Linked DNA regions of Saccharomyces cerevisiae S288C. Changing the gene in region 1 together with any one later gene gives a genetic interaction. Each region holds a gene or a part of one and is shown on either strand. Other genes may lie near its edges. The genes, in order: SPO1 and CWP1.

Region 1 (4,521 bases):
ACATTCGGACATGTCCGTTTTAGATTTTGTATATTCCGGCAATGTAGGAACTAAGGATGTTATTACCTCGAAATTAAAGGAGTTTGGGTTCAGCGATGAAATGATAGAAATGCCAATTGCATCCCTATCTGGAGGTTGGAAAATGAAATTAGCTTTGGCGAGGGCTGTTCTGAAGGACGCTGACATTCTACTATTGGATGAACCAACAAATCATCTAGACACTGTTAATGTGGAGTGGCTGGTAAATTATTTGAATACTTGCGGAATTACATCGGTGATTGTCTCTCATGATTCTGGTTTTCTGGATAAGGTTTGTCAATACATCATACATTATGAGGGTCTTAAATTAAGAAAGTACAAGGGTAATTTATCAGAATTTGTTCAAAAATGTCCTACGGCACAATCATACTATGAATTAGGTGCCTCTGACCTTGAATTTCAATTCCCAACTCCTGGTTATCTAGAAGGTGTCAAAACGAAGCAAAAGGCAATTGTTAAAGTAAGTAATATGACTTTTCAATATCCAGGGACAACTAAACCACAAGTCTCAGATGTTACTTTCCAGTGTTCTCTATCCTCAAGGATTGCAGTTATCGGACCTAATGGGGCTGGTAAGTCCACTTTAATTAATGTTCTTACTGGTGAACTGTTACCAACCAGCGGTGAAGTATATACACACGAGAATTGTCGTATAGCGTATATTAAGCAGCACGCTTTTGCACACATTGAATCGCACTTAGACAAAACTCCATCCGAATACATTCAATGGAGGTTCCAAACTGGTGAGGATAGGGAAACAATGGATAGAGCAAATAGGCAAATAAATGAAAATGACGCAGAGGCCATGAATAAAATATTTAAAATTGAAGGGACCCCAAGAAGGGTTGCAGGAATCCATTCAAGAAGGAAATTTAAAAACACGTATGAGTACGAATGTTCGTTTTTGTTAGGTGAGAACATTGGTATGAAATCTGAAAGATGGGTTCCAATGATGTCTGTCGACAATGCTTGGCTACCAAGGGGCGAATTGATTGAATCCCATTCTAAAATGGTTGCTGAAATTGATATGAAGGAAGCTTTGGCTTCTGGTCAATTCAGGGCTTTAACAAGAAAAGAGATTGAATTACATTGCGCCATGTTGGGGTTGGATTCAGAATTAGTCTCACATTCAAGAATTAGAGGTTTATCGGGTGGGCAAAAGGTTAAATTGGTACTCGCTGCCTGCACGTGGCAAAGACCCCATTTGATTGTTTTAGATGAACCTACGAATTACTTGGACAGAGATTCATTGGGTGCTCTTTCAAAAGCATTAAAAGCTTTTGAAGGTGGTGTCATTATTATTACGCATTCGGCAGAATTTACTAAGAATCTGACTGACGAAGTTTGGGCGGTTAAGGATGGGAAAATGACACCCTCTGGCCATAATTGGGTTGCAGGACAAGGTGCTGGCCCAAGAATTGAGAAAAAAGAAGAAGAGGGTGATAAATTTGATGCTATGGGTAACAAGATTAATAGTGGGAAGAAAAAAAGCAAACTCTCTTCTGCAGAATTGAGAAAGAAAAAGAAGGAGAGAATGAAGAAGAAAAAAGAGATGGGTGATGAATACGTTTCTTCTGATGAAGATTTTTAATTTGAAGTCGAGTACATCTCTTTCAGTGAGTAACTTATATATTTTTGAAGTTAACATCCTTATTCTTTTTTTATATTTTTATTTTTTTTATGTTTATTTTCTATTACTGATTTTCACAAAGAAAGGTAAAAAAAAACATACTTCAGCGGCTATACAACCATATTTAAGTAAATGCACTCAGAGAAAGTATACAAGTAAAAAACCTAAGTAAAGACATAAATATCCCAAAATAATGCAAAAACTCCTCTTTGTCTTTTCTGTGTTATTGACAGTAGTACTAGCAACAGCACCATTTCAGGTACAATGTCCTAGCTCTCCACTTATTAGGGAGGCCAAAGTAAGTTAAACTCTTTGCCACTTTAACAAATATGGGCCAAAACTAACCGAATATACCAAAACTTCGTATTCCTTTGTTTATTAGCATGAACTCTGTCCAGAAGAAACCTTGTATCTGAAGAAAAAAAAAATTAAAACGAAGAATAAACTGATTCAGTTTTTAAAATCCTTGACAGAGGCAAAGTTTAGTTCGAAGTTTTATAAACGCGTGTTGAAAGATCCTCCAAAAATTGGGATTGCTATATCTGGCGGCGGGTACAGATCCATGTTAGTAGGTACCGGATTTATTTCCCAAATGAACGATTATGGCCTTTTTGAATATTCGGATTATATTGCTGGATTATCAGGCGGAAGTTGGATCTTGATGGATTTGGTAGTTCAAAATTTTGAAGTAAAATCCCTGCTACAAGAGTGGGACCTTGAAGAGGATCTTTTATTAGGCATACCGGAATTCGATATTTCCGAAGAAGAAATTGTTACCAATGCAAAAAAGGAGTATAATGATAATGATTTGAAGATGAAGAAGCGTCAGGGGGGTTCTCTGATTACAAGCTCTTCAAATTTTTATGAACAAATAGAGGAGATCATGAATTCCATAGAAGAAATCCCAGAAGACTATATGATAACGAAGAGAAACTTGAATCCATTAGCAAGACTAAAAAAAATATTCTTTCCTAACAACACTTTCACTGGAACTGATGCGAAGATTGAAACCTTTAAAAAAGTGCTAGACTTTTACAAAAGTTTGCATTTGAAAATTAAGCCTAAAAAAATGGAGGGTTTCCAAATATCGTTCACCGATTATTGGGGTAAAGCAATCGTTCAAAGACTAAAAAAAAATTTCGATGACGATCCCAACCATTCCTTTTCGTTTTCGAAGCTTGTAAACTCGTCTAAAAAATTTAAGGAATGCAGTGTGCCGATCCCAATATTCGTTGCAAATTGCAAAAATGGACTTCTTTCAAACGTTATATTTGAATTTACGCCCTTTGAATTTGGATCTTGGGAAAATATCCTCAGACTTTTCGTCAAGTTGCCCTATTTGGGCTCAAAAATTGTTTCTGGAAAGGCCGAGAAGTGTATTAATAACTTTGATGATCTAGGTTTTATTACTGCGACGTCTTCTTCAATATTCAACAATGTGCTCATCTTCATCTGGAATTTGGCTTCTCAGTCCTCCAGAGAAGCAATGAAAGCTTTGAATATGGTTATGGGAATTTTTGGCCTAGGTAAAGAGGAAATATTTAGTATTTCGAAAGACTCCTCGAGATTAGAGACAGACTATGCCGTATATCAACCCAATCCCTTTTATCTTTATCCTGAAAAAGACAATGTCCTAACTAACAAAAATCATTTATACCTTGTAGACGGCGGAGAAGACGGCGAGAATATTCCACTCAGAACATTGGTGATTCCTGAAAGGGAACTAGATGTAATTTTTGTTCTGGATTCTAGTTCGGATATTGACAACTATCCAAACGGCTCCAAGTTAAAAAGGATATTCGAAAAATTAGATGAAGAGAACGTTCATTACCAATTTCCGAACAATGTAAAAACATTCACTCACCCCATTGTTATAGGATGCAATGCTACCAAAAGAACTGGACATGATTCATTTTTGCCAATTATAATTTATCATGCCAATGCGAATCATGGAAACGCATCTAATACGTCGACATTCAAAATAACTTACAATCAGTCTGAAGTTAGCAGTATGTTACCCACTGGAAGGGGAGTGTTTAGCAATGATTATGACCTTTATTATAAAAATTGCTTAGGCTGTATATTAACCAAAAGAACAATGGACAGGCTCCCAAGAAAAAAGAAATTTTCGCCATTTTGCTTACAATGCTTTAAAGACTACTGTTACTCATAAGAGAGTAGACTTTTTCTGTGAAATTTAATGAGTTTTTGTTCACCTTTTTTACTTTTCTTCTATGCCATATGGTTAAATAAAACATGGTTCAAACGCGATTCTTTTTTATTATCTATGTCTTTATTATGTAGTCTTCACTATAATAACCGTTAATGAGCGACATAGTTGCATCAGTTTTTAAGGCCAATTTGATTCAGAACCTTTTCAAGTTCTTCACTTTCCATCTTATCCGAAGACGCGATCTGGTGGCATCTAATACTATGCTTCTCGAATATCGTTTCATCAATTTCAATTTCACCATTTTTTAGGTAAACAATATCAGTAATAAAATCTTGCCATTCAAAGTCATCATTCTCTGAATGGACACCCTTAGATTGCCTATAGCCTGCTATTGCCCTACTCATAGAATCTATGATCATTTGAACGTAGTGTAAACCGTCTAAACCAAAAACCTCTCTATCATATTTATTATTTATGAGCAAAACTTTTTTCGTATTATTAGATTCCAAAATTACTTCAGCAAGATTACCAAGAATAAGGATTGGGAGTAAACTTGTCATTAAAGAACCGATAGAATAAACGACCATGTCAGCTTTTTTCACCTTGGAAATAGCTCTTGGATTTCCCATTGGTTTTATCTCTTCGCCATATGGGTTTATATACAATATCCTATGTACCG
Region 2 (3,381 bases), on another chromosome or scaffold:
TTCCGTTGCTTTCGTCGCTTTGGCTAACTTTGTTGCCGCTGAATCCGCTGCCGCCATTTCTCAAATCACTGACGGTCAAATCCAAGCTACTACCACTGCTACCACCGAAGCTACCACCACTGCTGCCCCATCTTCCACCGTTGAAACTGTTTCTCCATCCAGCACCGAAACTATCTCTCAACAAACTGAAAATGGTGCTGCTAAGGCCGCTGTCGGTATGGGTGCCGGTGCTCTAGCTGCTGCTGCTATGTTGTTATAAGAAATCTCTGATTTTTTATAATATCTATATGGCTTTTTTCAAAATTTTCGGTTTTACTAGGTAAGTGTTTGATTCTTTTCTTTTCGTTAATATATTTTTACACATAATTTTAAATAATTTTTGTTATTTTGAATAGGTAGATACCATAAAAATAAAACACTTTTTACTTTAACGATGTTCCTGTGATTTCTCTTCGAATGAGTCAAAAATTTGAACTCGAAATGAATGTATTAGAGACTGGGTTTCTTCGAGTTTGCTGAGATCTTGGCTATGCACAATGTTTCCTGCGCCCCTAAGGTGAAAAAAACATGCATGCTTGTTTCAACAGACCAGTGTGCATAAAGAATTTCGCCCTTAGCTGCGATTAAAGAGTCAAGGCGTGAAAAACATAGGCGAAAGTGCTGACCGTTCTTCCCTTTATCTTTTTACCATCTTCGTTATCTGTTACCTGTTCAAAAGAAAGTGGGAAAGATATTGGTGTGCTACGGTGGGATCTTTTTTTTCTGCCATTTTCTATACTTTACTTCCACTTATAAAATATTTTACAAATTCAAGGGAGACGTGTGACAAAATAATAATCTAGAACTCAATGAACTTTTGTCCTCACTACAATTGCCCCTCGGATGGATTTGAACTTACAAGAAATATCACGTTGGCGCGCGCTAAAGTCGCTTGCCAATGCGCTATGAAATTTTCATGACCTGGCACATTTTAGCACAGTGCCATTAATCCCTTTATTATGGGCATTGATGCGACTTTAAAACTGTACCTTCCTTCGCACATGCTGAATTTTCTTAATGAGATTCATCTACGATGCTTTAGAGCTAGCCTTGTTTTCTTTTTTATGCTTCAAGAGTAAGTAGTGAAGAACCCCACTAGACAAATACTAAGGGATGCTGCAACCACGTCTTATACTTCACCCATACATAACATTGGAATCTCATTAATTTTTGCAAAGATATGGTGAACAAGTTTCAAAATAAGAATGTATGTGTACCGAATCGTAGCTCGAGGTAATAATGAAAAAAAAAATCGGACATCTGGAAAGTTACGAATATAGAAGCAGATACCCCTCTTGACGGCAAACATTGTGTGCTCGACCTTCTATCCCGTTAAAATATCATAATAAACAAACCCCTCCCGCGAAAACAAAAAAAGAGAGCTAAAAAAAGTACTTCTTCGCGTTATAGATGGTGCCGCACCGTACGTCATAACTAAAAATAGCGTTAGCCACAGCTCCCTGAACGAAAAGGGCCCTTCGGCCCGATTGGAATACGGGTCCGCTTACGTCTGTGCGTGCGGGTTGTCCCACAACGGTAACTTACTCCAGGAGAGCCATCTCGAAGGTGCCACAAAAGAAAACAAAAAAAACAACAAACAATAAGCTCTGTGGTTCACGTTCAATGTAGTGTTTTTTCACCTTTTAATTTTGATAATTTGTGGTGCAGAAAAAAAAAAAGCAAACAAACAAAATCTCAATTATTTAAAGGACGATCTTAACGTTTCTTTCTTTCGCTATCTTCCTTGAATTTTTTTTCTGTCTGAAGTAAAATATCCCGTAACAAACTAATAAATACTACGAAAGTCTCAAAAAACAATAATGAAATTCTCCACTGCTTTGTCTGTCGCTTTATTCGCCTTGGCTAAGATGGTCATTGCCGATTCCGAAGAATTCGGCCTGGTGAGTATCCGTTCCGGCTCGGATTTACAATACTTGAGTGTTTACAGTGATAACGGCACTTTGAAACTTGGCAGCGGTAGTGGCTCATTTGAGGCAACTATTACCGATGACGGTAAACTGAAATTTGACGACGATAAGTATGCTGTTGTCAATGAGGATGGCTCATTCAAAGAAGGTTCTGAGAGCGATGCTGCCACTGGTTTTTCTATTAAAGATGGCCATCTAAACTACAAGAGCTCTTCTGGTTTCTACGCTATCAAGGACGGGTCGTCTTACATTTTCTCTTCTAAGCAATCCGACGACGCTACCGGTGTTGCGATTAGACCAACTAGTAAGAGCGGATCTGTTGCAGCAGATTTTTCTCCAAGCGACTCTAGTTCCTCTTCATCTGCTTCTGCTTCGTCTGCTTCCGCATCATCTTCTACAAAGCATAGTTCGAGTATAGAATCTGTCGAGACCTCTACTACTGTGGAAACTTCCTCTGCTAGCTCCCCAACTGCTTCAGTTATCTCTCAAATTACTGATGGACAAATCCAAGCTCCAAACACAGTTTACGAACAAACAGAAAATGCAGGTGCCAAGGCTGCCGTCGGCATGGGTGCTGGTGCTCTAGCGGTCGCAGCTGCTTACTTGTTGTAAGTACGAGAACAAAACCTGCATGTTTTATTTCCTTCAATATAGCTTTCTACATAATGATCACTTACATATAGCGTAATGTAATATGAAATGGCCCATAATATTCTCTTACATTGTCCTCCTACCTACATTCCTTTTCTTGCATGCAGCTCTCACATTCCCCGATTCGCTTGAAAAATTTAAACTTGTAGAAAAGTAGGTGAATGTCCCGCCGGCGGTTTCTCTGCTGCATGTAGAAAGATGGATATACAGAAAAGGAGATAAGAGTAGCTATCTCAAGTTTGTTCCACTGACTGCTAATACGCATAGAGTTGTTATTTATTGTACATATTCGAAAAAAAGCAAGAAATCACTACGGTGACCTCAGTAGAACGAACTAATAAGTCAAACCAAATTAACCGTTTCCAGGCTGATAGGAGAATACAAGAATGTCTGAAAGAAAAGCTATTAACAAGTACTATCCACCGGATTACAACCCACTGGAAGCTGAAAAGCTATCCAGGAAAATGGCTAAAAAACTGAAAACCATGAATAAGAGCCACGCATCGATTAGATTAATGACCCCATTTAGTATGAGGTGTTTGGAATGTAACGAATATATTCCCAAAAGCAGAAAATTCAATGGTAAGAAAGAGCTACTGAAGGAGAAGTACCTGGACTCCATTAAGATATATAGACTAACCATTTCATGTCCACGTTGTGCCAATTCCATTGCATTTAGAACAGACCCCGGTAATTCAGATTATGTAATGGAAGTGGGGGGCGTAAGAAACTATGTCCCTCAGAAACCAAATGATGACCTGAA

Evidence for each region.
Region 2: of SPO1 (region 1) and CWP1, extra expression of one rescues a mutant of the other (dosage rescue), as found in Saccharomyces cerevisiae (2 studies listed by BioGRID, with this or other methods).

The regions. Positions count from the first base shown.
Region 1 is NC_001146.8:607,824-612,344, forward strand, and holds SPO1 (putative carboxylic ester hydrolase), read left to right. Parts: upstream 1-1,862; coding exon 1,863-1,967; intron 1,968-2,051; coding exon 2,052-3,842; downstream 3,843-4,521. Other genes in the region: HEF3 (translation elongation factor EF-3), read left to right, coding at 1-1,630; YNL011C (uncharacterized protein), read right to left, coding at 4,013-4,521. UniProt on the Saccharomyces cerevisiae protein: Regulates spindle pole duplication in meiosis I, but not in mitosis. Required for meiosis I, meiosis II chromosome segregation and spore formation. Binds phosphatidylinositol (4)P mono- and polyphosphates.
Region 2 is NC_001143.9:259,273-262,653, forward strand, and holds CWP1 (Cwp1p), read left to right. Parts: upstream 1-1,859; coding exon 1,860-2,579; downstream 2,580-3,381. Other genes in the region: CWP2 (Cwp2p), read left to right, coding at 1-259; mRNA splicing protein YJU2, read left to right, coding at 3,005-3,381. UniProt on the Saccharomyces cerevisiae protein: Component of the cell wall.